Macaca mulatta: one gene and its partner. The protein of the gene in region 1 interacts with the protein of each later gene in a pairwise test. Links are inferred from orthologs where the notes say so. Each region holds a gene or a part of one and is shown on either strand. Other genes may lie near its edges.

The links.
Region 2: the proteins of TNPO2 (region 1) and CAMK2D interact in binary tests that used the Homo sapiens proteins (3 or more experiments, as listed by UniProt). The two-hybrid records come from large-scale screens. The link is inferred for Macaca mulatta from reciprocal best matches to the Homo sapiens genes TNPO2 and CAMK2D.

The regions. Positions count from the first base shown.
Region 1 is NC_133424.1:13,255,674-13,259,318, reverse strand, and holds part of TNPO2 (transportin-2), read left to right. Parts: intron 1-50; coding exon 51-158; intron 159-252; coding exon 253-411; intron 412-2,733; coding exon 2,734-2,821; exon of another isoform or gene 2,822-2,936; intron 2,937-2,947; exon of another isoform or gene 2,948-3,004; coding exon 3,005-3,103; exon of another isoform or gene 3,104-3,146; intron 3,147-3,568; exon of another isoform or gene 3,569-3,629; coding exon 3,630-3,645. UniProt on the Homo sapiens protein: Probably functions in nuclear protein import as nuclear transport receptor. Serves as receptor for nuclear localization signals (NLS) in cargo substrates.
Region 2 is NC_133410.1:123,024,627-123,028,923, reverse strand, and holds the start of CAMK2D (calcium/calmodulin-dependent protein kinase type II subunit delta), read left to right. Parts: upstream 1-1,395; 5' UTR 1,396-2,095; coding exon 2,096-2,160; intron 2,161-3,755; coding exon 3,756-3,850; intron 3,851-4,297. UniProt on the Homo sapiens protein: Calcium/calmodulin-dependent protein kinase involved in the regulation of Ca(2+) homeostatis and excitation-contraction coupling (ECC) in heart by targeting ion channels, transporters and accessory proteins involved in Ca(2+) influx into the myocyte, Ca(2+) release from the sarcoplasmic reticulum (SR), SR Ca(2+) uptake and Na(+) and K(+) channel transport.

The DNA.
Region 1 (3,645 bases):
ATCCTGCCCACCCCGCCTGAGTTCTCCCCATCTGCCTTCCTCCCTGCCAGTGTCTGTCATCAGTGGCCACCGCCCTGCAGAGTGGCTTCCTGCCTTACTGTGAGCCCGTTTACCAGCGCTGCGTCACCCTGGTGCAGAAGACGCTGGCTCAGGCCATGGTGAGCACCCCCACGCCCATCACCTATGCTTCTGCATTGGCCTGCCTCGGGCCTGCTCTCCACTCACCCTTGCCCCGTCCCCATCTGTGTCTAGATGTACACCCAGCACCCCGAGCAGTATGAGGCTCCCGACAAGGACTTCATGATCGTAGCGCTGGATCTGCTCAGCGGCCTGGCTGAGGGCCTGGGTGGTCACGTGGAGCAGCTGGTGGCCCGCAGCAACATCATGACACTGCTGTTCCAGTGCATGCAGGTGGGTGGGGACCTGGACAGTGATGACACCCAGCAGCCTGCGTGGGCTGCCCCTGGCGGGGACTCAGGGCCTGGTTGTGCGCAAAGAAAATCAGGGAAAAGGGGCTGTTCTAATTATTTTAAACAGTGATCCGGGAGGCTGAAGCAGGAGGATGGCTTGAGCCCAGGTGTTTGAGACCAGCCTGGGCAACATAATGAGACCCCAGTTCTAAAATTTAAAATTTTTTTTTTTTTTTTTTGAGACGGAGTCTTGCTCTGTTGCCCAGGCTGGAGTGCAGTGGCCGGATCTCAGCTCACTGCAAGCTCCGCCTCCCAGGTTCACGCCATTCTCCTGCCTCAGCCTCCCGAGTTGCTGGGACTACAGGCGCCCGCCACCTCGCCCAGCTAGTTTTTTGTATTTTTTAGTAGAGACGGGGTTTCATTGTGTTAGCCAGGATGGTCTCGATCTCCTGACCTCGTGATCCGCCCGCCTCGGCCTCACAAAGTGCTGGGATTATAGGCTTGAGCCACCGCGCCCAGCCCAAAAAACTTTTTTTAAAAAAGCAAACGGTATTGAAAATAGAAAATATGAGGCCAAGCGCTCATGCCTGTAATCCAGCACTTTGGGAGACCGTGGCAGGTGAATCACTTGAGGTCAGGATTTTGAGACTAGCCTGGCCAACATGGTGAAATCCTGTCTCTACTAAACATATAAAAATTAGCCAGGCATAGTGGCAGGTGCCTCTAATCCCAGCTACTTGGGAGGCTGAGGCAGGAGAATTGCTTGAACCCAGGAAGCAGAGGTTGCAGTGAGCTGAGATCATGCCACTGTATTCAAGACTGGACAATAGAGTGAGCCTCCGTCTCTTTCAAAAAAAAAAAAAAAAGAAAACATGAAAGCCCAAGTCCCTGCCCCAGCACAGTTGGCTCTCCATATCTGTGGGTTCTACATCCCAAGATTCAAGCAACCTCAGACTGAAAATACTCAGAGGGGGCCGGGCGCGGTGGCTCACGCCTGTAATCCCAGCACTTCGGGAGGCCAAGGTGGGCGGATCACAAGGTCAGGAGATCGAGACCATGGTGAAACCCCGTCTCTACTAAAAATAGAAAAAATTAGCCGGGCGCAGTGGCGGGCGCCTGTAGTCCCAGCTACTCGGGAGGCTGAGGCAGGAGAATGGTGTGAACCCGGGAGGCGGAGCTTGCAGTGAGCCGAGATTGTGCCACTGCACTCCAGCCTGGGCGACAGAGCGAGACTCCGTCTCAAAAAAAAAATAAAAATAAAAAAGAAAATACTCAGAGGGGCCGGGCGCGGTTGCTCAAGCCTGTAATCCCAGCACTTTGGGAGGCCGAGACGGGTGGATCACGAGGTCAGGAGATCGAGGCCATCCTAGTGAACATGGTGAAACCCCGTCTCTACTAAAAAAAATACAAAAAACTAGCCAGGCGAGGTGGTGGGCGCCTGTAGTCCCAGCTGCTCAGGAGGCTGAGGCAGGAGAATGGCGTAAACCCGGGAGGCAGAGCTTGCAGTGAGCTGAGATCGGGCCACTGCACTCCAGCCTGGGCGACAGAGCGAGACTCCGTCTCAAAAAAAAAAAAAAAAAAAAAGAAAATATTCAGAGGAAAAATTACATCTGTACTGAACACATACAGACGTTTGTTCTTGTTATTATTCCCTAAACAATACAGTATAACAACTATTCCCATACTGTTGACATTGTATTAGATATAAGTGACTTAGAGATGATACTAAGTGTACAGGAGAATGTGCATAGGTGCATATGCAAACAGTATGCCCCCCGCCCGTCCCCCACCTTTTTTTTGAGACAGAGTTTCACTCTGTCACCCAGGCCCGGGTTCAAGCAGTTCTCCTGCCTCAGCCTCTCAAGAAACTGGGACTACAGGCATGTCCCACCATGCCTGGCTAACTTTCTTGTATTTTTAGTAAAGACAGGGTTTTGCCATGTTGGCCAGGCTGGTCTCAAACTCCTGACCTCAAGTGATCTGCCTTCCTTGGCCTCCCAAAGCGCTGGAGATTATAGGCATGAGCCACTGCGCCCGGCCCTAACACTATGCCACTTTATATCAAGGACTTGCACATTCGTGGATTTTGATAGCTGCAGGGACCTGGGAAAGAATCCCCCATGGACACTGAGGGATGACCGTTGGGGCACTGCCATCTCCCATTTGCAGATGTGGACTGGAGGCTAGGGAGGTTAAGGAAAACCTAGGAGCCCTAGAACTGGAAAATGGCAGAGGCTGGACATGCACCAGGGACTGTGCCCCCTCAGCTGTCGTGGTTAGGAGGAGGGGAGCCCAACCACACTGATATTTCTTGAATCCCCAGGATTCGATGCCTGAGGTCCGGCAGAGCTCCTTTGCCCTCCTGGGAGACCTCACCAAAGCCTGCTTCATCCATGTCAAGCCTTGTATTGGTACGACACTCACCTTGTCCCTAACCCATGACCCCAGCCCCGGCCTCAAGTGATGGAGAGCAATACCCAGGGATGACTGTGACATTGGGATGTATTCGTACTGTCTGATGGGGCCTGCTGGGCTAGGTCTGCAGCTTACCCCAGCTGGCCCTCCTGCTCAGCACTCCTGTTTCTCCCCACCAGCCGAGTTCATGCCCATTCTGGGCACCAACCTGAACCCAGAGTTCATCTCGGTCTGCAACAACGCCACCTGGGCCATTGGTGAAATCTGCATGCAGATGGGTGAGTGCCCTGCAAGTGGCAACAGGCCCCTCCCCATTAGCCTGTTCTCAACCTGGGGGCGGGAGCCTAGCTCTGACTGACACGGGAAGTCTCTGGGGGCTCGTCATGGGTGGAGCCAAGCAGAAAGGTCATTTGTGATTGGCTTCACCAAAGAGAAGGGATAGGAGGGCTGTTCTGATTGGACCGTTTTGTGTAGTTGGCTAAAAGACTCACTCGGATTAATTGGGTGACTTTGGCCCTCACTCGAATTGATTGGGTGACTTTGGCTTCTTTTCCTTTGACTTGGGCAGCGTATTCTCACCTTAGCGACTCCAGAGAAGTCTCTGATGTTTGAAGGGTGTGGATCTGTTCCTGGTTGACCAGGGATTCTGGGTGGGGATTAGCCGGAGAAGGTCTTTTGTTCCCTCACTGGTAGTGGTTGGCCAGTCTCTGGTTAGAACTGGGGTCAGTGAGTGACGGGGGCAGCCCCGAGCCCCCCCTGTGGGTGAAGGGGGCTGTGCAGGGCTCTGATTGGGTGCTCCCCCAGGGGCAGAGATGCAGCC
Region 2 (4,297 bases), on another chromosome or scaffold:
CTACGAACAAATTAGCAATAGGATTGCAAGGTTTTTATAGTCCCGTGCTGTAGAACAAAAGGCAGTAATTTGAAAAAACTCGTCCATAACGCTGTTTTCGGTCTGCGTCAAATTTGCAATTGCATAGTTTTATTAAAGAGAACGGGAAAGAGGGCCCAGAAGTTGTTCTAGCAATCGGCAGCAATTTATCTATTTTAAATTGTAATGCATACTTTTTTTTCCTCCTACTGAAAACAATGGCAGATATGCTAAAGGGAAGGACACATTCTTGAACCACTAAGTGGTTTTTCAGATAGCCATTTACGGAGTGCACTCAAGTCCCACTATCTGGCTGAAAGCAAAGTACACACGACCTCCCCTTTTCCTTTTTCCCTTTGCAAAGCGAAACAGGCTAGACGCGTTTACGTGATGTGAATGACGTCAGCCCCCACCGGGTCGCGTGACCGACACCCAACCTTCCTACTACCTCGCCCCGGCCGCCAGAGTGGGAAATATCGCGAGAACTCGCCTTACTATCAGAACTTACTGAGGTTACAGGGGAGTTACTCAGAAGGGAAGGGAAGGTGTGGTTGAGTGGTGGAGTTTTTGCCTTCATTCTTTTAACGTTCATAGCCAAAGCAAAGGCCTTTGGGAATTGCCAGAGCCTCAGCCACCATCCTGGAAAACAGCGGGGGAGGTGGGCCTGGAGGTGGCAAGTGAAATGTGGCTCAGGGGTCGTCATTGCCCCTTGCAGAAGGGGCTGCGGGGGAGGGAGACAGCCTGCGCCGGGTTCTGGGGAGCTGGCGACGCAGTGAACCCCGCTGAGGTTGGGTTTTGCCCCAACAGTCGCTGGTGGCTGTGGGAAGGGTTGGGACCTTCTCTGAGAGCAATGAACAGCCCACATCCGGCCCCTGCTGTGTCAACTTTGAGTGGCGTGGAGATGAAGTGGTTGCTCTGCCTTGCTCGGCCACAGCGGGTGTCGTGGGCCGGCAGCCGGCCTGGAGAAGTCACTGCTGCCCAGCGCCCAAAACAGGGGCGTGGGCTACCGCGACCAAGGGCGGCAGCCCCGGGCCATCCTCGAGTTGCCCTGCATCTTCCCGCTCAGTCAGCCCCAGATTGAGGCAGGCTTCTCTGTGCGGGTTTAAATGGGTAACTGACGTCTCGCCTCATTCACCCAAACCTCCAGGCTTCTCCCCCGCAAATCCTCCTCCACCCACCTGGTTTCTCCTAGACGGGTGTGCTCGTGTGTGCGACCGAAGGAGGGATAGCGAGAGATCCACGAAGGGACACACTTGGAGTCGCTAGAGGGAGGTGTGGGACCAGCGAGGAGGGGGCTTCGCCAGGGAGGGGGTGCTGGCTGGCGGAGGGAGCGGCGGGAGGAGGCGCCAGGGGAGGAGACGGAGGCCTGGGGACGGCAGACGAGGCTTCGTCCGAGCCGAGCGCTCTTTCTCTCGCTGCGCCGTCTTGAAGCCGCGCGGGCTCGTGAGCAGCGCGAGGCAGTCAAGGTGCCTCGCTTCGCCGGATCCGCTGCTGCCCGCTGGAGGGAAGCCGGTCCCGGGCGCGCACGCTCGCCCGAGCCCCGGGCGCGCTCCGCGCCTGAGCCTGCTGACAGCTGCCGCTGGGCTCTGGCTGTCCGCTCCGGGCTCCGCGGCCTCGGCCCCGCTGCACTCCACCTCCGCCCCCTCGGACTCCCTCCCCTCTGCTTCTACCCCTCCTGCCTCCAGTGCGGATCGTTTCGCAACTGCTTGCCACTCGCCCCGTGCCCGGCTGTTTTTCCGTTTCCCGGCCCCCTCTTCTTGAATACTTTACCCCCTGTATTTGGGGACAGGGACTGGAAAAGGGGCGGGTGGAGCGTCCAGTGGAGAAGAAGGAAGCGAGGCCCGCAGGAGGAGGAGGATCGGCGGACCGTGGGGAGGAGACCCCACGCCACCGTTTCTGGTCATCTCCCCTCCCGCCCCGCCCCTGCGCACACTCCCTCGCGGGCGAGCTACTTTCGGACCAGGAAAGTAAGGGCGGCCCTGGGTGACAGCGCCGCGGGGCCAATCCCGGGGTTAGCCGCGCGTCTGCTCGCTTCTCGTCCGTCGCGCTCCCAGCCAGGGCACAGCCCGGACCAAGGATGGCTTCGACCACAACCTGCACCAGGTTCACGGACGAGTATCAGCTTTTCGAGGAGCTTGGAAAGTAAGCGCCTTTGCCCGGCATCCTCATGTCCCCTTTCCAGCTGAGGGCGGGTCGCGTTGCCCCAGACCCACCGGCCTCCGTCTTGGGGCGAGGGAGTTTGGGAGACGAGAGGAGTGGGAGGAGGGCCCCTGGTTTGTCAGCTCTGGGGAAGGTGCTGTCTTAGTAAGGGGAGGGAACACAGAAGGCGTAGGACCCTTGCCCCGGCTGTGGCTCATTTCGATAGTCCCTAGCCCACCTTCTCCCGGTCCCCCACCCTTCTGCACTGAGAGACTTAGTGAATTTACGATCTCTGCAGTTGTAGCTGTCATCCTGAGAAGTGTGCGCGCGCGCCTGTGTGTAATGTGTGTTTGGAGAGGAAATTAGAACCCATGTAAAATGCAACATAGATCATGTTTTCTGTAAATAGAGATGCCTCCTGGTTAGCCGGCGTGTCGGCCGTATGACCCATGTACTGAGGAGAACTCACAGCCTCAGACGGTGCCATATTTATTGATGCCGAAAGTTCAACTTGGCATGGAGACTATTTCGCATCCAGTAGTTGTTCTGTCCAGGAAAAGGGCCACCCAACAGAACCCAACCCCTTGCCCTATATCCACTGTTATTCTTTGCACCAGATTACCGCTCACCATCATTCTTCCTAGGATTTACGTGTGCATCTTTGCGTTCTCTGGGAGGATTTATTTATACAGGCAGCGGAAAAGCCCTCTGGAGACTGAGCGCGCTCTTAAGAGTAGCCTAGCATTGTGTAAAACCACCTCCTCTACCTAACTGGCAGAACTATTTGGAGATGCTAGGGAAGGAGGCAGGAGATCTACTGAGGACTTGTGTAAAGGGACCTAGGGGCCGAGCCGTGAATGCTGATTTTAGTAGCATTGAACCCAAACCCAATTCCTCTTTCACTAGTTTCGACTGTTACTTTTATGAAAGGGGTGCGTTTATATGTATGTTGTTGGTTTATACTGTAATTAAAGGAAAGGTAAATATTTTTGAAGGTAATAAAAATTATATATGTATATATTGTCTGGTGTTAAAACATGGAGAATATGTCGGAAGAGCAGCTTAATTCAAATCTCTCCCCTCCCCCAGCCCAAAACAAGACACAGAGAAATCACCATACCAGGATTTGTTAAACCACACTAATGTGCTCAAGATTGATATTTTAATGAAAATAATCGCCGTGTTTACTTACTTGGAACCACATTAATTTTTTGTTTCCTACCAAAGTAAGTAGGCGGCAGATTTTTTTGCTGCTCTTCCTCTGCTCTCTTCTGTGCAGGGTTTTTCTCAGAGCATTTGGTGCTGTGAGTGTGAACTGTAAAATGTTTTCAAATTTCTTGTGCAAACAAGAGCGGTCATAATTGGCAGTTCCTTTCATTTTGTTGATTAATAATGTGTGCTCCCAGTTAAATAAAATTTACTTTTATTCTTCAACATTAAAGAAAGTCTAGGTTTCCAGGAAGAATTGTTCATTTACTGGATATTACTGTACTTCACTGGCAATCCACTAAAATCAATAAAAATGCTCAGATTTTATAAATTTTTTAATGGAATGTTATATCTGTTATATTAATGACCTGCTAATTATTGGTTTCCAGGGGGGCATTCTCAGTGGTGAGAAGATGTATGAAAATTCCTACTGGACAAGAATATGCTGCCAAAATTATCAACACCAAAAAGCTTTCTGCTAGGGGTGGGTATTTTCAACCACATATATTGGTTAATTTTGTATGTGTCATGTTGATTATAGGTTCTGTTGTATGTAAATATCATGTAGTTATAACTGAATTTTAGACTTAGGTATCATATTACATACTGAGATTATTTTCTTCCTGAATGCTTCTTGGTCTGTACAGTTTAAAAATAAATGGAAAGATATAATTATTATTCGATAATTGCTATTAAAATTCTATCTGTCCTACAGGCAATAGCATGAATAACTATATTTTAAAGCAAATAAATGTCAGGTGCATTTTGCTTATAGTTTAAGTATAAAATAACTTTTAGAAAGACGATGGAATGGAAAAATATAAGTCTCACAACTGTCATAATTCCCTTTTGCTTTTGGGAGGAAAATAGGTCATAGCTCAGTTGAATCATATATTTCAATTGTAGTTACACTTGAACTTAATTCATCAAG